5 linked regions of the Oryzias latipes genome follow. The protein of the gene in region 4 interacts with the protein of the main gene of each other region in a biochemical or structural test. Links are inferred from orthologs where the notes say so. Each region holds a gene or a part of one and is shown on either strand. Other genes may lie near its edges. The genes, in order: rad9a, e2f1, rhno1, topbp1 and ticrr.

Region 1 (4,357 bases), on a different chromosome or scaffold from region 4:
AGGCGTATTTGGCCCCTTTTGTTATTATCTACAACTGCCAGAGGAAGGAAGCTAAGAGGTTTGAAACATTTTCACTCAGATAACCACAACATTAAAGTTGCTACATGGCAGCAAAGAGATAACTTGAAATCAAGAAAACGGGTTTTAGCTCAAAAACTTTCACTTCTAAACAGTTAAATCGGATAACAGTCGGTAAGCAATCATACATATTCCTATTCTTAAAATTGAAAAAGAAATAGATTGGGGGAGTTTAGGAGTTTGAAAAAATAATAATAATAGTCGTACAAATGCATCGTATGACAGTCAAGATGTCAAAGAAGGGAAATAAAGGGATTTTTTTTTCTAAAAGGGGACAAAAATATGTTTAATGACTAACCAATAAAAGTAAGCTTGGACTGCCAAACTTAACAGGACGGGTGAAAGCTATAAGTGGCAGATTAAAGCAAATCATATCAATGTCATAAATCTTTCATCTGATCACGTTTATATTAAAAACTTTAATTGCAATCCACCTCTTTATTTTTAGAGCACCTTTCATCAACATGCTTGACATAAAAGTCATATGTAAACATAGGTTAAAAAGTCATAAAAAACAGTAGATTAAAAGCTTAAAAGATAGAAGGGTAAAAACATACTAACGATAACATAAAATACTGAAAAGCCAAATAAATAAATAAGTTAATTATATGAGTTACGCAGTGCTACGTTAGAATGATGCATCTTTAATTTACATTTAAAAATCTCCACGGATGCAGAAAATGTCAGATCTGCAGGTAAGTTACTCCACAGATGAGGAGCACTGTACTGAAAAGAGGCCTCGCTGTGAGTCCTGGTTCAGATTAGAGAGCAGGACCTGAGGATCTGACAGTTCTGGAGGAAGGAGTATGGAGATGTAATTGATGCTAATAACAACTAAATGATTACAAATATTACTAACAAATAATGGTCAAAGTATGTTTTATTGGGAAATGTACTTAATAAAGGACAAAGAAAAGTACTTGGAGTCATCTGATGATGAGCTTTGGGATTTTTCACAAAAAGATAAGCAGATTCACTTTCATTGGTAAACAGCTTGAGAATCCACCTTTATTGCTATCTTGCAGCGGAAGTTTCTCCCGTCGGGAATCGAGTACCTGCACAAAAACACGGGCAGTTGGAAGCTGACTTGCATCACTGACACGATCTGTGATTGATTGAAACGAGAGCGGAGCGTGCACCTGCTGAAGAAGAGTGGTGCGAACAGGAAGCAAGCATATGCCGACCGAGAAGAGTTCACAGACCGCAGCGCCAGCTACAAGAGAGAGATGCATTCAAATCAGCACCATTCGTCGACGCAAACAGGAAGTAAGCAAAATATATACATGATGGTTGGTAGGAGGAAGTGCTGGTGTTTCTGACAGCGTCAAAGCAGCTCACCCCGTCTTCCTGGGGCTCCACGTACAACTCATCACCGATGCGCGACAGAGAATGGATAGCTTTGGCCAACACTATTGAGTGGACGCACGCGCCCAAACAGGTAATAACGACAGCTTTGTTATTATTATCAATGGTAGTAGCACAATTGTGTTTCAGTGACAGAAAAATCCTGGTCTACCTTTCACGTTTCCTCCCGTCACGACACACTGCATTTCTGCAAACGAACTTTCCCCGTCGAGTTAGTCTAAAATGAATCCAAACTAGCAGCTGTGCAACACCATCGAAATAATTAAGGGGGCTTTCGTATGTTGCACGTACAACACAGACGCACTTTCTAAACTTATGCTTAAATGTTAGTGGAATACCAAATGTTTTTTTAGGAGACTGCAAGACAGTTGAGCCAAACCTCACGTTGTTTACGGCGCCACAAGCTGCTTCCGCACAGTTGACCAATCAGAGTTACTGAATTTCGAAGAGGGCGCGGCTACACCCATGCACATGCGCAATAGCTTTGGTGTTTTTACTATGAAATTTCTTTACGTCGACACTCGCAGTATTAAAGGATTCAACCTGTCTTTACAACTTATAAAAATATTATTATTTTTTTATTTAACAGACTCCGAAGCAAAGTATATAATATATTTTTCTGATAGACGGACAGCAACTTAACTGTGTCCACTCCGTCCACCACAGCCACCCACTATCACTCAATATCACTTTCCACTTAACATATTACATCAAATTCGTCTTTTTAGTCTACTTCTGTTGAGGTGCCCACTCCCCCAACACATTACACCTAAGAGCAAAGCAATGTCATTTCAGTCATTTAAACTAAAACAGAGAATTTGGTCCTTTAAAGGCTTTTACCTTATTAAAAAGTGCAGTATGTTTCTTTTGACCCTCTTCAAGCTTTAGGTGGTTACAGGTGATCAAGTTCTTCACCTTCTTTGTCCTCTTACTATGACTAGATTTCTTGAAAGAACTTGTAAAGCTGCAGTCTTTGTTGTAGACTTTGCTTTCTTTGGCATGATTCCCACACATTTTGGGCTGTATTCTGGAAAACAATACCAATGTGGAATAATTGTAGGTGTTTTTATAAAAATACAGGTAATATCCTGAATAACTGAAGTGTTATTATCTGTTTCTTAAAGTTTTAAAGATAATTCTGTTACTTTATTCTGTTTTTGTGCTTTTTATGCACGTTTATTTCACATATAGGGAAAAGTTGCTGTAGTTCAAGTGGTAAGTTTGACTCCCTGCCAACAATGTCAAGTTTTTGACATTGTTGGCATTTAGATAAAATGAAAAAACAAAAGTAAAGGGTGGAGGTAAAATGGCATTTTCCAAAAAGCTGACTTTTTGTGTCATGTTTCTTCTTCTGTTTAGAAGTAGCTACTGATCTTACAAAACCTCACTGTAATTACTAGCTGAAACCCAAAGTGGAGAAAAATAGTGCATGTGTAAGAGAGCCTGAGAGAAATAGGACGGAAGGGCAAGCTAAACTGGCTGCAAAGCCAGAGTCACAAAGGGAGTCACAAAGGGAGAGTCACAAAGGGAGAGTCACTGGGAAAGCAAAGTTATCTAACCTCACTGGTTTTACGTGTTGGTTTGCTTCAGTGCGTGAGATCTGAGGAACGCTGTCGAGAACCACCTCTCCTCTGATCACCGCTGACAGTAGTGGCCGCGAAAAGAAGAAGAGGTGGGACTAAACTAATCGCTGTGGACATTCAGTGAAAGATATCTAATGGATACAAGAGGACTGCCTTCGGGAGGTGCTGGCTTCTTTTGTTAAAACGAGGAAAGGAGGACCCCTACTTCATAAAACCTGAGGATTCTAAGTGGAGGAAATTCAAAATAACAGGAAGACATCAACAAAAGAAGTGACAGGACGTTCAACTGACCGTTTGCAAAGAGAAAGTGTAAGCATGATTGAAACAGACCAGAACATCCCAAAAAAGGGACTTAGTCCTTGCAGGATGTTTTTTATATCAAATAATTGTGACATTTCAATTTTTCTAACATGGGTTTCAGCCTCAGTACAACAGAAAATGGTGTGATACCTTTGCTAGTTTAGATAAAAAGAGGATTATTCGTTTGTACACACTGTGACTACATCTAAATGTGACCTTTAGAGATGTCTCAGTCACAGCAACAGACAGACACGCAGGCCATGCTGCAGTCAATGCTTCAGAAACTGAAGCTCCAGCCAGGATCAGAAGGCCATGGATCCCAGCAAACATTTGCCGTGGATGCTCCCACACCGGTGCAACATCATGAAAAAGGATTGTTCCCTCCACAGGGGGTCAACACCAGCACTGTGGAAGTGTTTGGTTTCAACGGAAGTGCCTTAAAAGAGTATGGGTCCCCCACTGACTTTGGCTTTAGTGGTGGAAAAGGGAAGCAACCAGGTCCTGGCTGTGAGGTGAGCAGTCCAGTTTCCTTCCCTTCTTTTAATTTCAGTGCTGTTAGCAACAAGAGCAAGAGCTGGGTGCTGGAACACGCCACTCATCCTGGGGTCACACCAGCAGCAACGTGGCATCTGTTTCCTGCAACATCACCAAAGGACATTGATCTCACTTCCTTTAAGTCCACTAATGGGGACACAAGCACTTTTGGAAACTTTACAATGACTCAACCCTTCCTTGCTAATAAGGAGACTGCTTTTAATTTGAGATCCAATCAGACCACAGTTCAGGGTTTCACACCCAAATCGCATGTGTGGTCCAAGAAGGGTACTGATGCTGACAAAGACAACAAGGAGTTGAACACGGGGAATGGTGCAGGTTTGGACCAAAGTAGAGGCTTGCACTTTGCAAGTAACCAAAAACCAGCAGGCAGCAGGAGAAAACAGAGATCAGAATCTGAGAATAATACCAAAAAGAGATGGACACAGAAAATTAAGGAGAGACTAAAGGACAAACAAGGGAACAATGGCAAAAAG
Region 2 (4,379 bases), on a different chromosome or scaffold from region 4:
AAAAATACATTGGAAAAAAACTGTTTGTTTTCTAGAACATAGATTCTGCAGAGCGCCAGGAGCTGTGGGCGTGACTGTTGGCACAGAGCAACCCCCTTGTTGCTGAGAGCTCTTTGTTTACACACTAGATAAAAGCCCCTCAACCTATTTGTCTGCAAGTGGATGCATCAGAATGGGGCGGAGCAGGGAGCCTGTGGCCCCGCCCGGCGGATTTTCTACGTCACAAATGCGATCTTTTACGAATACTCGGAAATGCAACTTTGAGCTTAGTTGTCTTAATCTGTAGCAGTCCTGTGGAGCTCGGTGCAGAATGCTCCTTACCCATAGACTGGATGGTGGATCCTGCAGACACATTCTGGTTGTTGGGGTCATTGACTCCCCCCTGGCCATCCAGCAGGGACTGGACTGCTAGAACGGTCTGGTTGTCCATGCCTGAGGGGATGGAGGGAAACAGGGATTTAACATCAGTAACAGCTTTTCTTTTTACAACATGTTAGAAGAAGATCTGCTTCTCCATGAAAGTGACAGAAACAATAACGCGAGGAGTGCATGTTCACATATTAATGAATAGCTTTTATTGTCACATGTACAGCTTTTACACTGACATACGAGATGAGTTATTATATTACAGAAATAATTAATATTACATTTACAAAAAAAGCCGTTTATAGCAGTACAGTCTTAATCTTTAAAATATAATCAGGTTGTTTACAATCATCATCATCAGATCAGGCAGAACCCTTCAGTTCAGGGTGCTTACAGCCTACATAATACCCGTTTAAAGGGTGATTTAGTGTTCAAACAAGTCTCCAGTTAATTTACATGATGTGGTTTTCTTTGGCATATAACATATTTAATAATTGCGCGGTAAATAAGACTATATTTGTACCTTCCAGCGCCTCGAATATTGTCTGCGCCATCTTACAGCGCTCCTGTTTACCATCGGTGATCGATTGGTAGGGTCTGTTACTTTAGGTGCAGACCCCCCAATGAAATGCTTACATTAATATTTGCAAATAGAAAAAAACTTATCACATTTGGTTCAGACCCCCAGAAAACTCTAGTTTAGAAAGTTCCTAAGCAATCAGATTTAACTTTATTTTTTGTTAATCTGATTGCTTAAACGGAGAGGGAGCGCTAGGGACTACATTGAAAAAACGTAACTTTTTTAAGCTGGGACGCAAAGACTGTTACATCATATATTTAATATGGTAAAGGAGTTTATCTTTTAGTTTTGGGAAACCTTACATGAAACTGACACTACGTGTTTTACTATTTTGTTTAAAATTTCCTAAACAAAGCAGTTAAGAAGCCTTTTGTCCGTGGAACGTGAATGCACCTCCCAATCAGCAAATCTGTGCTCTGGAGAGTCACAGACGGCCATCTCCGCCAATCAGAGAACACCAACCTGGTCACATGGAAGGCCAGTTTTCCCCATGCTCTGTAACGTGACAGACGGCCATTTCCACCAATCGGAAGACACCAATCGCGTCACGCGCAAAACGAATCCCACTGGCCAATCCCAGCGGTCGCTTTTCCCCACGTGCCAGTTTCGCGGCAAAAAGGATTTCGCGCGAAAACCGTCCAGCCTTGTTTAGATATAGATCAGCTGGGACAACAACAATGACGGCTGCTAATGGGGTCGGCGCGGCTCGTTTACAGATGGACCCGATCTTCGGCGAGCAGACGAAGGAGCATCGGCACATTTTTTAACGTTTGAGCGAGTATTTCCTCCGTTTTGTCTGCATCTCCCGCGTTTCTCCGAGTGCTTCCTGCGTGCCCCAACAGTACGAGGGGGACCGAAGAACTGCAGCTAATCCCTGAAGCTAGCATGCTAAAGTTCCCCGTATTTCCGCGCTAAACTCTCTGTCGTCGCCGTCGCCCGGACGGATGGTTGCTTTCTTTTGGGAACTATTTTCTCAAAGATGGTGTGGATCTGCGATCATGATGCCTCCGCCGAGTGAATGTGTATTTTTTTTATTGCTTAGATAGCCCAGTTCTGTGAGCGTCTATAAAGTTTTCCGAACCCGTTAATGAAGCCATATCGTAGGGAAAAGGAGATAAACTTTTAGGTAGTGGTGGTAAATGTAGTCCTCTGCTGTTGTTCGTGTTTATTAGCAAAGTTGTTGTAGTCTTTTCTTGTGGTAAGCTAGTTCGTTAGCTTGGTAGCTCTGTGTTTGAGGACGGAGTGGCGAGGCCTCTGACAGGAAAACGAAAGACTAGCAGGCTAGCTCGCTCATGATCTCAATTTACGGCGGGTTTCTTCTTCTACTTCGTCTTTTGACCTTCTTTTATTTCCGCTGAAAACGGCGCGCGAGCCGAGCAGCGCGTGAGCCTAAAGTAGGATGCGCTCAGCGGGTCGTTTCCTGTTTGGGCTCCACGTCTCGCCTTGACGTTTGAACCTTCGACTCCTCTGTGGTTGATCTGCAGATTTCAGGCTCGCTGTAGGTCAACCTTCAGCAGGAGGAGGAGGAGGAGGAGGAGAGGTTAATGGATCAGCATTTTCTCCTCAAGTCCTCCTAACATGTTTGGGGTCACCTGGTGCTGAGCCTGTTTTGATACCCCAGTTGGTGCCCCCACCCTCCCTGGCATTCCCCCAGTCTGCTGCAGGAGCCCTTTGGGCGGCAGGCAGTGCCATGTCAGAGACTCTGATAACGGGTCAGACATCCGAGGATCTGCTGAAGGACTTTGAGACTCTGCTGAACTCCGGGAGCATCGATCTGAGCCAGGACCACCAGATCGTCATCATCACCAGCCCCAGCAATGAGGGACTCCACCCGCTGGCCGCCCCCAGCAGCACGGGGGAAATCCTGCTATTCGCCACGCCGCAGAGCCACGCCGACGCGGGGGGCCAGGACAGGAGGAGGCCGGCTCTGGGAAGACCTCCGGTGAGGGCGTGGCTTCAAGGCGGCCGCCGCCGCCACATCATCACACGCCGGGGTTCACATAATCGATTCCTCTTCATTTGATGATTAGGTGAAGAGGAAGCTGGACCTGGATAGCGACCACCAGTATGTCAGCACCACCCGATCCTCCGCCAGCCAAGCACCTCCTTCTACTCCTGCTCCTCCCAGAGGTACGCCGCACGCTCAGGAGCAGGAGCGCCGACTCGGCATCCTTTCACGGCGCTGAAGCTGGCGTCCGGTTAGCGGGGGCACTAAAGGAACATTCCACTGCATTTTTCACCCTAAGACCACCTTAGACCAGGTCCTTTTCAGAAACCACAGGACCTGGGCTGCTCAAACCTGGATTAAAATTAGGATTTAGATAGTAAAGAATTCATTAAACACAGCTTCTGATTTATGAACATTGAAATGGGATGATTTTATGTAGTTGATCAATTTAAAATGATCTATTTTTAGTCTGCCGTCGTTTGGTGAGCTGCATTGCAGGCAGACGACACGAATTCACAAGAGGGGAGGCAACAGAATCCCAAACAACAGAGCGCTGCGAGCAGGAAAGCCACAAAAACTTTAAAATGATTAAATAAAAATGAGTCCAGGTCCAGCGGTTTTTCAAAAGGACCGGGTCTTAGGAGGACCCGGTGCGTAAAATACTATAAAATCCTCCTATTTCACATTTTCATGAGTCAGAAACTGTGTTTAATGAATTCTTTACTATCTAAATCCTAATTTAATGCAGGATAGAGCAGTCCAGGTCCTGTGTTTTTGAACAGGACCACCAATCATTTTACATCTTTTGGATTGCGTAACGCTCAGACTGACTCATGACATCATGGCGTCCACATGCTGCGTGAAGCGTTTCCGTCCGCAGACGTTTGGGGCCGTTGGGATGAGAAGTTGAAGGAGAATTTCTGCTGAAGGCTGAGCCTCAGTTCCTTTTGTTTTTTTATCACTGAAATCCACATTTGACCGTTCAGTTCTAAGATGTTTCCTTCAGCAGAATCTTCATCGGTGGATTTCTATTTTTAAACCACCAAAAGACCCGCCGTGGCTCCGAAATCCAGGTCCCGTGGCCACGTCAGAGAGGGCGGGGCTTGGAGTTTCTTTAAAGGCTGGTTATAAATATTACCTTAAAGAAAATAAAAGTTTCGATGGCGTGGTCCAAACGAGGCCTGCCTGTGCCGCTGGAACGTCTTCACAGCTGGAGTCGGAGGATCACCTGTTTTCCACCTGGATGTGTGTTTTGTTTGTGGAGGAGGTTTAAGGCGGCGTGTTTTTCACTGCTTTTCCAGTTCCTCGAAGCACGGCGGAGAAGTCGAGGTACGACACCTCCCTGAACCTGACCACCAAGCGCTTCCTCAACCTGCTGTCCCAGTCGGCCGATGGCGTGGTGGATCTGAACTGGGCCTCGCAGGTCCTGGACGTCCAGAAGAGGCGCATCTACGACATAACCAACGTCCTGGAGGGAATCCAGCT
Region 3 (3,258 bases), on a different chromosome or scaffold from region 4:
TCTGTGCAAATTCCTTACAGGGTTTAATGCCAGTCACATCAAGGGATGTGTGAGTGCTTTCTTTTGTTGCTGGTTCTTGAGATGGGATTTGTGTGGAAACAGCATCTCCTCCAGAAGTAGCAGTCTCACAGAAAGATCCGGCTTGATCCTGATTGCCATTGTCACTCAGGAGAATAAACTTGCTCGGACCCTGAACTCCGCTGTCTTTGCCTTTAGCGGCGAGGACACTAATTACACTCTGAACGTCTGTAGCTTTGGGAATGACCACAACCTGAGTGTCTGACAGGGATGGGTGGCCTATAAAGCGGACCCCGTCTGGGAAGCACGAACTGTCGCTGGAATTTGACGGCTCTTTGGAGCCACCGGACTGCCTGGATGGGTCTGCTGGGGTGGGTTCCTTTTGTTGAAAAGGTAACTTGCGCCTTTTGAGGATCAGGGGTCTCCTTGGGCTCCGTCTCATGGTTCAAATCATCCAAAGGGCCTTAGGTGTTCAATGGAAATCTGTGGGGAGGGGGAAAAGGTCTTGAGCTACAGTTATGGCTCAAAAAGTACTCAGAAGTTAAACACCTTATCAATACATTACGTTACAACGTTTAAATACTGACTTTAACGATAACCCCGAACTAGTGAGCCTGAAAACAACATACCTGCTAATAGAATACGAAGTAATCGGTCAAAAATGATGTTTCAATCCTATGATATCGTCTTCAAACTTAAAGAAACCCGATTATTGCTGTCTGTTTGCTGCAAAAGTCCCAACAGTCCCTCGCTCGAAAGTGAAGATTTTATTCGGTTCCCTTGGCGACATGCCAGTCGTTATAATTTTCAGTTGATGATAGGTTTAATTTCAATAACGTCTATCTAGTGGATATTCAGTGCAACATATATTTACATGTTAACACAATGCAATCAATAAAACAAAAAATAAATTCAAAAAATAACATGCGCCTAGCCAATGTCCCGATTAGCGTATAGTTTCCTTTATTTACAGCTAGGCTAAGCTAGCTATGCTAAAGCTGTTTGACGATGGAGGAAACAAGTGGAAAAATGAAGCCAGACCTTCACATTACTGAATTACTGCAGCGTTTCATTCAATTCCAGGCTTGGTTCGGCTTTCAATTCCACTTGTCGGATCAAAGAAAACATTTAAAATATTCACAAAACCGACGTATTTAGTAGTAATTAGATACAAAAAGTCAATCCATAAACAGTTTTGAATTTTGGCGCTGTGGGCGCTGCCCCGACTGTCACTTTGATCACATGGTAACAATGGACCAATAGTAAACGCAGAAAAAAACACTGGGCGGCTCAATAGGTGGCGCTGTGGGCCGCAGCTCGAGATGGCCAGCCGCTAACCCGAAGAAGACAAAGAAAAAATCCGGGAAATTAAAAGTAACAACAACACGGACAAGCTAAGATAAAAAGGTCTGAATGAACCGAAAAATAAGGGAACGTTTTTATTCCGTATTCCGTACATGGACACATAATCACGGAAAAAGCACAATATGGTAAGTAAAGAACGCGTTTCAAAAGTAAACACTTGAATGCGAATATGTAAACAGCCTCGATCTACGACTAAAGCTATGTGTATTGTTAACAAGATTACTCGATCGGATTTGTCTCTTGTTTGTTTTGAACAGATGCTTAAGATTGATTTAAATTGATGCCCCGGAAAGCGGCAAAGACAGACAAGCCTGCACTGCAATTCCTGGAGCGACCTGTGAGTGGCGCCAGACTTCAAAATGTGCCTGAAGTCAGAGCTGCTCTCAATCCCAGAGAGTTTTTCTCCAAGACACACAGCTCTTCAGCTCTCAGTTCCTGGGTAAAAGTCTTTTAAATATATAAAAATATATAAAACATTACAAATATAGATTTAGTTGATTAGATAACTGGCAAAAAAGTCTACTTAACTATAAATTTCCCAACCTTTCAGGTTCAACCCCAGTTTGACATCTCAGCTACACCTCCATTTAGACGAGGAAGAAGAAATTGTCAGTCCGTCACAAGGATTCTTGACACGTGCAACGAGCTGTCCAGGAAACACAAAGTGTGCAAATACCCATCGTTATTATTTCTTAGGGCGGAGAGAGACAAGTCCCATAATCCAAGTGGACAGCGCACAAAGAAAGCGGCAGAGGTGACGTCAATGCCTGAAGATCAACCACAGGGATCATGTCAAAGCAATAGGACAGTTTTACCTGCACCTAAGAGACGAAGAAATCCTCAAAAATCTTTAAACAGAGCTCCATCTCACAGTGAATATTTGCACCAACCTGAAAATCAGTTAATAGAGGTAACGGAGGAAAGCAGAACTCCACCCGGTGGGTGTAGTAGCCCTAGACTTGGCAATGTTGACCCGCCTCCTGAAGTGGACACTCCAACAATGAAGCAGAACAGTTGCCCCATGTCTCCCCCTGTTTGTTCACTGCTGGCTGATCCCTCCTCCCCGCAGTGTCATCTTCATCCTAATGTTTTGGTCTCCGACACACCAGAGAGGGACTATGGGGTGAAGGTGACGTGGAGGAGGAGAAAGGGATTGATGATCATATTAAAGGAAAGGGGCCTCCTCGATTAGTCACTTAAGTTTATTCTATCATAAATCTTTTAATTTTTGTAAAAAATCCTTTTTCATTTCTCTTGCACACCCAAATAATATTATTTTTTCCTGATGTTGCCTGACAAGAATCAAATGAAAAATAAATGAATTTGACATCTGATTAATAATTATTTATTTTTCTAAGTTTTGAACACATATTAGAAATTTAAGTCATACTGGATGGTCATTTGAAGCCCATTTCGTTTTAGAGAAAACCTTTTATTGTTCCCACCTTTTCCCCAGATGTAAACCAATTAGATTCCTTCTAGGAAAACAGCCGGCCAATAGGAGTGCTCGTTATTGGTCCGCTTGGTTGCCAAGGCAGAGTATTCATCCGCAGCTCCTGCGTCCGCAAAAAGCGTTTTTCTTCGAGGAGCCTTTTCCTTAGTAACCGTGCATAAACATGAGTTATTACAGCATAAGGTAAGAGTAAAGCCTTGAAAATACATCCTTACTTATTCACGGACTTCTTTGGTCTTCAGTTTTGTCTATTGTGGCGTGAAAATCCCGCTCGTGTCCGTGGAATTGTGTTGGGAAAACTTAAGTGTCGCCTTTAACTTTGATAAAACGCGGCATCGCAAACATCGGAAAACGGGCTGAAGCAGCTAACGTTAGCTTCTAACGGTTGTACGGTAGCTTTGATATTCAACTCCTGATAATTA
Region 4 (4,284 bases):
TTTGTCACAAAATCTTTCAGACATCAATCTCCCTTCTTTCAAAAGAGAAAAAAAAATTATGCACTCAAGTCTTCATAAACCTTTTGTTTTTTAGTGACCACATTTGTTTTGTTTCTATTAATTTTTTCTTGTTTCTTTCAACAACAGAAAAAGTTTACTTTTGTATGAATATATTTTTTACTCTAGATTTTTTTCTAGGCAAACCAAGGCTTGTTATTTAGGGAATGTTTTTCTTCCTCTGATGCGTTAAACTGAAATTATTCCGACGGGATTTATTTGCCTCCATGGTGTCTGGACCTTTTCACCTCTCACATGACATGTAATTCACAAAACTGTCTTTAAAAATACACCAGTAATGGGGAAAAAAATGACTTTTTCTGTTCGGTTTGCGCAAATGAACAACTCTAGATCAAACCTTCGACCTGCATACGTTTTTGGGATCATTACACGAATCTGCTCCCCTTTATTTTCCAGCCTTCGACTCTTCATCATTGATTCTGTTTTCTTTAGTTTAATCTTCTTCCATGACTCATTTTAAGTAATTCTCCTCCCAGAAAGCAAAAAGCACTAGAATATTTATAAATGGAAAAATAACCACCGGAATGAGCTTCTGCTGACCTGAGTGACTGATTAAGAATATTTGTGAAAGACTAGTGCAATTTGTGAAATGTTCCATGTAATATTGCGTATATAAAATTTCTACATGAATGTACATTTAAAAATAAAAAATCTGTCACACTTGTACATAAAATTTTAAGAATAAAAGGGAACCCACAGTGTTGTTCTTTGTATGTCTATTTCTGTTTGTCTAATAATCAAATCTAGTAATCATACTATTGTCAAATATATATTTTTAATTGCTTAACATTCAGTTAAGATTATCTATATTTTTTATGAAAAGGTATCAATATTTCCACTACCTACTGAGTCTAAGTCTTCTTTACAATTTTAGGGTAATTTGGGTATTTCTGTAACTGATTAAATAAACAATCTTTAATATTATTGTATATTTATTCTTACAGAAGACGTATTTGTAGTCTGAATGACAGTTGGCTTTGATACAGATTTTTACAACAAATGTTTTGATGAATTTCTGTCATATAGGGAAAATGATTGTGTGGGAATGTATGGCCCAAAATAATTATTTGGGGGGGGATAGTGAAAACCAAATTGTAGATAAATTACTATTGACGTCACATGCCGGGCATGACTTTGAAGTTGTACATGCAGACATGTAGCTTTTTTAATTTAATTTTAACCAAATACATTTAGGGTGATTAATGGTATATGTTTCAAACTACTATTTTACTAGGACAGTGAGTTACATATGGACACTCTGACGGATATATATTTTTAAAGTTTTATGCTAAATGCGTGCCGTCCCGGCCAAGAAGAAAGATCTCCGATTCCACTCGGACACATTACGGAGTAACACCGGAAGTTACGCCGAAAGGCGCGAACAATGTAAACAAATAACTGCATTTCATTTGGCTGAGCCTGAGGACTTTTTAAAATTACTATTATTAGAATAAACTTGTATTTTTATGTCAATTTATTTATTCATTTTGGCAAAATAGAATGTTGAACACCAACTTACTTTACTTAAGTATTCTTTCGTTTTTGACAATTTGAATGTTAGCTAACCCGATTGGACGTTTTCTGTAAGCTAGTAGTAGTTTTGATCTAAATGAAAGTATAAACGTAGCGACTCCTTGAATTAAAAAAAAAAAAAAAGCATTGTACGCATTACACCAGACTATTGATTACATGCTGTCTGTATTGCGGCCTAAAGGACTGGTCTAAACGGATTTATAGGTAAGTACTTTCCAGTTTAAATATATTCATGATGATGTACTCCTTCTTGAGTCGTTCCATGGTCTGTAACATTTAGTTATGATGACAAGTTGTATTCTTTTGGCACATTTTAAACGTCTTCCCAATTCGGCGTCTTTTTACAGAATAAAATTCGCTAAATAAAAAAAAAAACTTCAAGTTAAAAGTCTAGCTAGCGTTCAGTGCTAACATTGAATGTTAGCTGACTCTGCCGTCCCATCATGTCCAGCAGTTAAACCTATTTCAGCTGTTATGCTGCACCCAGATTTTAGCAGCTTCCAATCCAAACAAACTCAAATGCTCCCCGGCTGTGTTTATAATTTTAATGATTTTTTTTTAAATCCTTAAATTACTGCTCCATCAAATGTACTTTTTAAATTCATTTTGTTTGATTTTTATTGCATGCTGATATAAACATGGCATCAAAAGTTGGGCACGTAAAGAAGATGTTCTCTAACTTTTATTTTGACTCTTGTGTAGACTCAACATGTCCAAAGTGGAAAAGGAGCGCTTTATTGTGAAGTTTGTGGAGAGTAAAGGATCTAATGCTGAATATGCTGTTAAAGCGTATGAGGTAAACACAACTGCACAGTCCTTTCTGCAGACGTTTTTTTCTGGATGTTCATCGATGTATATTTATTTAGTATTTATTATATAATTTTCATCCTATTCTAACAGGCCATTTTGGAGCTGCAGTCTGAAAAATATTTAAAGAAGGTTAAAGAGGAAGAGGTTTTACAGATGGAAGAGAAGGACAAGTCTCTGTTTGTGTTCAGCAGTTTTACCTCTCCTGCCTTTCTGCACTGCAAGAAGGTTTGTCGCCTTAGTGAAAGCAAAATTCCTGGCAGGATTTTTAGGAATGAACGCTTCGTTGCTCTGTGTTGTGCAGCATGGCTGTAGAATCGTGAGCCCCTTGGTGGTTTTGTACTGCCTGCAGCAGCAACGCTGCGTCCCAAAAGCAGAGAAGCCGGTCTACAACATGGCCATGGCTGATGTCACTATTTCCTGCACCAGCCTGGAAAAAGCCGCACGGGTGAGTTCTGGTCTGTCTTTGAAAAATGCTGAGACTGTTGCACCATTTCATTGCAGTTGTGTTATTTGCATGTATTGCACTGATAATGTTTTGAAAACTAGTTAATTAAATCTGTGCATCATTTCGTTTAATGCAGATTCTTGCATTTTTAGGCACAAATATCTCTGCTGTTAGTTTTTGATATAGAGAATAAAAGAAACAGTTTTTTTTACATGAAACCAGAATAGAAACTTTATAATTAGTTGTTGTTTTTTTAGGTTAAATGAAAACCCAAATGTGACCTCATGAATTGACACTAAATCACTTTTATGCTTTCACGGGCCACATAAAGTGACATGGCGGGCCACATTTGGCCTTCGGGCCTTGAGTTTGTTCATGTTTATGTTTTGTCTCACTCTGCAGGTGGATGTGATGGATCTGGTGCAGCTCATGGGTGGACGTGCCTGCCTTGATCTTAATGTGTCCGTCACACATTTAATTGCTGGGGAGGTTGGAAGCAAAAAGTATCTGGTGGCTGCCAACTTGGGTAAACCCATCCTTCTACCCTCATGGGTCAAAGCCTGCTGGGAAAAATCTCAGAATAGGTATGAACTGATTATTTTTGTTTTACATATTTGCTCCTGGGTGGCGCAGTGGTTAGCGGTCTTGCCTCATGGCAAGAAGACCCCTGGTTCAAGTCCCGGCTGGGGGACCTGAAATGGAACATCAAAAGGGGGTCTTTCTGTGTGAAGTTTACATGTTCTCCCCCGTGCATACGTGGGTTTTCTCTGGGGACTCCGGCTTCCTCCCACCGCCCAAAAACATGAGAGTGAGAGTGAATGGGTGTGTGATTGTGGACAGTCTACCCTGTGACAGACTGGCCAGGGTGTCCTTCCCCCACAAGTGGCCGGGATATGCTCTGGCAGCCCCGTGACTCCGAAAGGGACAAAATGAAAGATGAATGAATGAATCAATGAATATTTGCTCCTTTGTGGTCTTTATTATAAGTGCTAATAGTGTATTGTTATTTTTACTCTTTACACTTCATCACCCTAGTTTCCATAGATTACCGCTGATTCATAAAACTAAGTTTCTGTAGAGTTATATATTTTTTATTCTCTCTTCAGCCTTTTTAGATACACAGACTTGCCTATGGATGAATATCTGTGCCCCGTGCTGCTCGGATGCACCGTTTGTGTGACAGGCCTGTCCAGCACAGAACGCAAAGAGGTGCAGCGCCTCTGTGAACAGCACGGCGCCAAGTACAGCGGCCAGCTTAAAATGAACGAGTGCACGCACCTCATTGTCAGTGAACCAGCAGGTGAGACACTAAAATATAGAACAAAACTGGACTATAATAGGAATACCCGATACGTCCTCATTTTCATGAACATTCACTAACACAGTTACGAACTGTTTCATATTGTAATGAGTTTCTC
Region 5 (3,750 bases), on a different chromosome or scaffold from region 4:
ATGGGTGCTTAAGGGCGACCAGGAAGCTGCTGCCTTCCTACAACTTCTAAGGGAACTGTCTTCTCTTGATTCTAACATGGTGAGAGTTATTGTGATTTGTGTTATAATTGTCATTAATAAACCAATATTTTTGGGGTTGTCTTGCAACCGACATATACAATTATAACTCTAAAAGCTGTATTTGGCCTAAAAATATATTTTTCCTCAATGATGCTCCCACTTATCTCCTGAAACCAATCACAGACTACTGATGCCTAATTTCAAAATCAGGATTTTCAGTAGCGTGGGTCTTTAAGGACCAGATAAAGTTATTTTCTTTTTTCAACAATAATTATGAAGGTGGTGTTGCAGTGGTTAGTGCTCTTGCCTCACAGCAAGAAGGCCCCTGGCTGGGGAACCTGAACCAACGGGGGACATTTCTTTTCTGTGTGGAGTTGGCATGTTGTGCCTGTGCATGCGTGCGTTTTCTCCGGGGACTCCGGCTTCCTTCCACCGTCCAAAAACATGCTTCATAGGTTAATTGGTCACTCTAAATTGTTCACAGGTGTGAATGTGAGTGTGCATGGGTGTGAGATTGTGGACCTGTGACAGGCTGCAACCTGTCCAGGGTGTCCCCCTGCCTTTGCCCACAAGTGGCCAGGATAGGCTCCGGCAGCCCTGTGACCCGAAAGGGAATAAACAGATTAGAAAATGAATGAACAAAACAGATGCCAATTGTAAAAACTTACATTAGAATTATTAGAATAAAATCGACTATCACTTATTACCTTAATCTAGGTTTCTTTCTTTCTTTCTTTTTTCAGCTTGCAGAGGTGAATGTCGGTGGACTGGTGTGTTCGGCTGTCCTTTCTCCTCTGTCACACTCGACAGCACTACTCACTGTTCTTCAGCCGGAAATCCCTCAGCAGAATCAGCTCCTGAAGACAAATGCTGAGGCACCTCAAACCACCACTGATCTGCCAGACGTAGTGAGCAGTGTTCTGGGAGTAGTTTATGACATCATGAACAACGATGAAGATGCTGTCAATGGTAGGAACACTGACATGCAGCTGCACATACAAGTCATAATTAATTGATATCACTACATAATATTCTACTACATGCACATTTATTCTTTTGAATTTATTTATTTTGGCAAACATGTTTTCAAGCTGTATTGAAGCCAAATGACTTCAACACAGCTTGCCCTGTGGTTGTATTCAGGTTACAGTGGTGTTGAGTGTTAACGAGGTTTGGCTCTAGCTGTAAAATGGGCAAATTTAGTTTGGTGGACATGATTTTATTTTTCTCTCAACTTTACCTCAATAAAGTTATGACAACACTATTTATTGTGTTAACAAACACTAATTTTAGTTAGTTGTCCACACAAGAAATCTTTCTTAAAGTTTTCAAAATCATTTGTCAATTCTCTTGGCTTAAGTCATTGTATTATTCATTGGTAAGATTTTGTACTTCATGAATATCAGCCATACATGTCACCTGTTTACTGAAAAACAGTAAGATCTGCTACAGAATTGAGTTGGGTTATTTTCAGCCTGAAATGCTCCCGTTTTTGTTTTTTTGGTCAGAATCCAGATGTCTACCAAGTCCTTTATTAGAAATGCATTATATGCTCATTTGCAGTCAATTTTAGCAAACAATTTTTGAATATTAGTGATAAATTGTCATTTGTGTACATTTAATTACTTCTCAGATAAAATACAAGATCCTCCGGTCCCTGAGTGGGCTCAGCAAGAAATAAGCCACCCACTGACAACAAGCTTGTTGGAGACCTGGTTCCCTCTGTCAGACTTGTCTGGAGTGAGCTCTCATTTAATGGAGTCTTTCAGGTACAAAAGCTGGATTTTAGTTTTCTGTTGTCCGTTTACTGTGAACTAGCTTTTGATTGCAGAGTCTGATGAAGAGCTGCTTTTCTCTTTCAATGCATCCCAAAGACAGACACCATTTATAATAAAAATGTGAACTCTGTTTGCTGAATGCAAGCATATCTAAAACTGGCATCACAACTTGTGGTATAACATGTTTTTTAAATCTCTTTACATGGATATTTTTGTAACAGGGGCAATAACTCATTAATGGCAATTTCATACAATTTACTTTACATTTTACTTTTCACAACACTGTTGAATGGCTTGTTTCTTGTCTTCCTCTTTTCTTTTTATTTACATGTAAGCTAAATACCAGTTGATAGCTCTTCATACAGGTTAAAAATACACATGTCCACAATATTAATAACATCAATTTTTACTGCTACTTTTATCAGTTTATAGAAATTTTCATTATCTTGATTCTTTGAAATTCTTTCGTTCTGTAAAGGAAACTCAAATTAAATTTGATTCCCATCATTATAGGTTGCTGAGTGCAGTGCCAGAGCAGAGTGAAGAAGAAGAGGCGTGTTTGCTTCAACAAGAGCTGATTGGTGGTCTTTCTGAACTGTATCAAGCATCTCAGGACCATGTTAATAAGAGAGGGAGGAAACGTAAGTGAACAACTCCATGTAACAATTCTGAGTATTTTTAAAAAAAAACGTTATACCTACATGTTGATGAACTTCTAAGCCATTTTTTATAGACTTTTAGGTTCTTATAAATTATTTTTGTTTACTTCCAACTTACTGTCTGACATCATTATAAAAAAAATGTTTGGAATTCGTTTCATTCTTGTTTTTCATCCCCAGGTGGCGCCCATTGCACACCGGTGAAACAGAAGATGAAGACGATGAGTCGTTCTTTGCAGATGCTGAATGTGGCTCGTCTGAATGTAAAAGCCCAGAAGAACCAGTCTGAGGAGGAGCAGATGGCTACTGAGAGCAGGACGGTAGACAAACCAGAGAAGAGACGGACAAGTGCTCGTGGAAAATCTGCAGGGCAGAGTTTTGTCAGTGAGTGCTGCTATTTTAACTTCAAATACACATAATTGTTCCATTACTGTAAAATATCACATTATGTTTTACTCATCCCTTAAAAAAACAAAATAAACGTGTACTTGTTTAGGTTTCAATGATGAGGCAGAGCTGCTGACTCACCTGAAGACGAGCTATGACAAGACTGTGGCAGAGAAAGACTCATCTCTGCTGAAAGTTGTTCAACAGCTAGTAACCGCTGTGAAAGCTTTTCTTGAGGCAAAGTTGACTGGTCAGGTGAGACTTGGCGCATTTCATTCTAAACCTTTTTTAGGTAATCTTGAAGGGCCTATACCATGCTATTCTTAAGATTTTTATAGTAAACTATATCCATGTATATGAGAATATTTTACCTTTGGCACACAAAAGAACACTTTTTTAAATGAAATATTAGTTATTTTCCGGAGTTCTTTTCCAACCAGGAAGAAAGACGACTTGATCTCTGAAACACCGCCTTTCGCTCCGTGTAGGTGCCGACCATTTCATGACGTTGCCCTCGGCAGCGTGTCTCCCTCTCGCCCCCAAAAACAAACAACATCCAAACAATTGCAAAGATGGATGTGCAGATTGTGCATATAAAAGGAAAGCGTTTTTGCCGATCACCGCTAGCTCCGTGGAGAAAGTGGATGTTTGTGTTGGCCTGAGGGCGGGTAGTTCAGACTCTTCCTGGAAGGGGCTGTTCTTCACATTGCAACGTCTGAGAACCAACTGGTTTTCGTGAGTTTTGAGGGTCTGGTGCTCACAGTACAGGTTTTTAAAGGAATACTCGGAGATGCCGCTTTAGGGTTTCTTTTCTTGAGGAATGAACATTATAATACACTTAAGTAAAAAAACAAAAAAGATTTAGC

What was found.
Region 1: the proteins of topbp1 (region 4) and rad9a form a complex in vitro, tested with the Homo sapiens proteins (4 studies listed by BioGRID). The link is inferred for Oryzias latipes from reciprocal best matches to the Homo sapiens genes TOPBP1 and RAD9A.
Region 2: the proteins of topbp1 (region 4) and e2f1 form a complex in vitro, tested with the Homo sapiens proteins (4 studies listed by BioGRID and IntAct). The link is inferred for Oryzias latipes from reciprocal best matches to the Homo sapiens genes TOPBP1 and E2F1.
Region 3: the proteins of topbp1 (region 4) and rhno1 form a complex in vitro, tested with the Homo sapiens proteins (2 studies listed by BioGRID). The link is inferred for Oryzias latipes from reciprocal best matches to the Homo sapiens genes TOPBP1 and RHNO1.
Region 5: the proteins of topbp1 (region 4) and ticrr form a complex in vitro, tested with the Homo sapiens proteins (2 studies listed by BioGRID). The link is inferred for Oryzias latipes from reciprocal best matches to the Homo sapiens genes TOPBP1 and TICRR.

Annotation. Positions count from the first base shown.
Region 1 is NC_019868.2:13,973,369-13,977,725, forward strand, and holds the start of rad9a (cell cycle checkpoint control protein RAD9A), read right to left. Parts: upstream 2,955-4,357; 5' UTR 1,629-2,954; coding exon 1,595-1,628; intron 1,517-1,594; exon of another isoform or gene 1,488-1,516; coding exon 1,417-1,487; exon of another isoform or gene 1,298-1,416; intron 1,292-1,297; coding exon 1,218-1,291; intron 1,134-1,217; coding exon 1,085-1,133; intron 1-1,084. Other genes in the region: uncharacterized protein LOC105354882, read left to right, coding at 3,551-4,357. UniProt on the Homo sapiens protein: Component of the 9-1-1 cell-cycle checkpoint response complex that plays a major role in DNA repair. The 9-1-1 complex is recruited to DNA lesion upon damage by the RAD17-replication factor C (RFC) clamp loader complex.
Region 2 is NC_019865.2:2,000,089-2,004,467, reverse strand, and holds the start of e2f1 (transcription factor E2F1), read left to right. Parts: upstream 1-1,431; 5' UTR 1,432-2,340; intron 2,341-2,430; 5' UTR 2,431-2,636; coding exon 2,637-2,888; intron 2,889-2,976; coding exon 2,977-3,076; intron 3,077-4,195; coding exon 4,196-4,379. Other genes in the region: znf341 (zinc finger protein 341), read right to left, coding at 322-432, 890-920. UniProt on the Homo sapiens protein: Transcription activator that binds DNA cooperatively with DP proteins through the E2 recognition site, 5'-TTTC[CG]CGC-3' found in the promoter region of a number of genes whose products are involved in cell cycle regulation or in DNA replication.
Region 3 is NC_019881.2:18,846,778-18,850,035, reverse strand, and holds rhno1 (RAD9, HUS1, RAD1-interacting nuclear orphan protein 1), read left to right. Parts: upstream 1-1,344; 5' UTR 1,345-1,508; intron 1,509-1,640; 5' UTR 1,641-1,663; coding exon 1,664-1,822; intron 1,823-1,933; coding exon 1,934-2,575; 3' UTR 2,576-2,696; downstream 2,697-3,258. Other genes in the region: foxm1 (forkhead box protein M1), read right to left, coding at 19-460. UniProt on the Homo sapiens protein: Involved in microhomology-mediated end-joining (MMEJ) DNA repair by promoting recruitment of polymerase theta (POLQ) to DNA damage sites during mitosis.
Region 4 is NC_019878.2:21,472,676-21,476,959, reverse strand, and holds the start of topbp1 (DNA topoisomerase 2-binding protein 1), read left to right. Parts: upstream 1-1,398; 5' UTR 1,399-1,464; intron 1,465-1,470; exon of another isoform or gene 1,471-1,815; intron 1,816-2,313; 5' UTR 2,314-2,320; coding exon 2,321-2,407; intron 2,408-2,511; coding exon 2,512-2,646; intron 2,647-2,722; coding exon 2,723-2,866; intron 2,867-3,268; coding exon 3,269-3,450; intron 3,451-3,972; coding exon 3,973-4,166; intron 4,167-4,284. UniProt on the Homo sapiens protein: Scaffold protein that acts as a key protein-protein adapter in DNA replication and DNA repair. Composed of multiple BRCT domains, which specifically recognize and bind phosphorylated proteins, bringing proteins together into functional combinations.
Region 5 is NC_019864.2:8,294,979-8,298,728, forward strand, and holds part of ticrr (treslin), read left to right. Parts: coding exon 1-79; intron 80-803; coding exon 804-1,029; intron 1,030-1,693; coding exon 1,694-1,829; intron 1,830-2,351; coding exon 2,352-2,479; intron 2,480-2,677; coding exon 2,678-2,881; intron 2,882-2,993; coding exon 2,994-3,139; intron 3,140-3,750.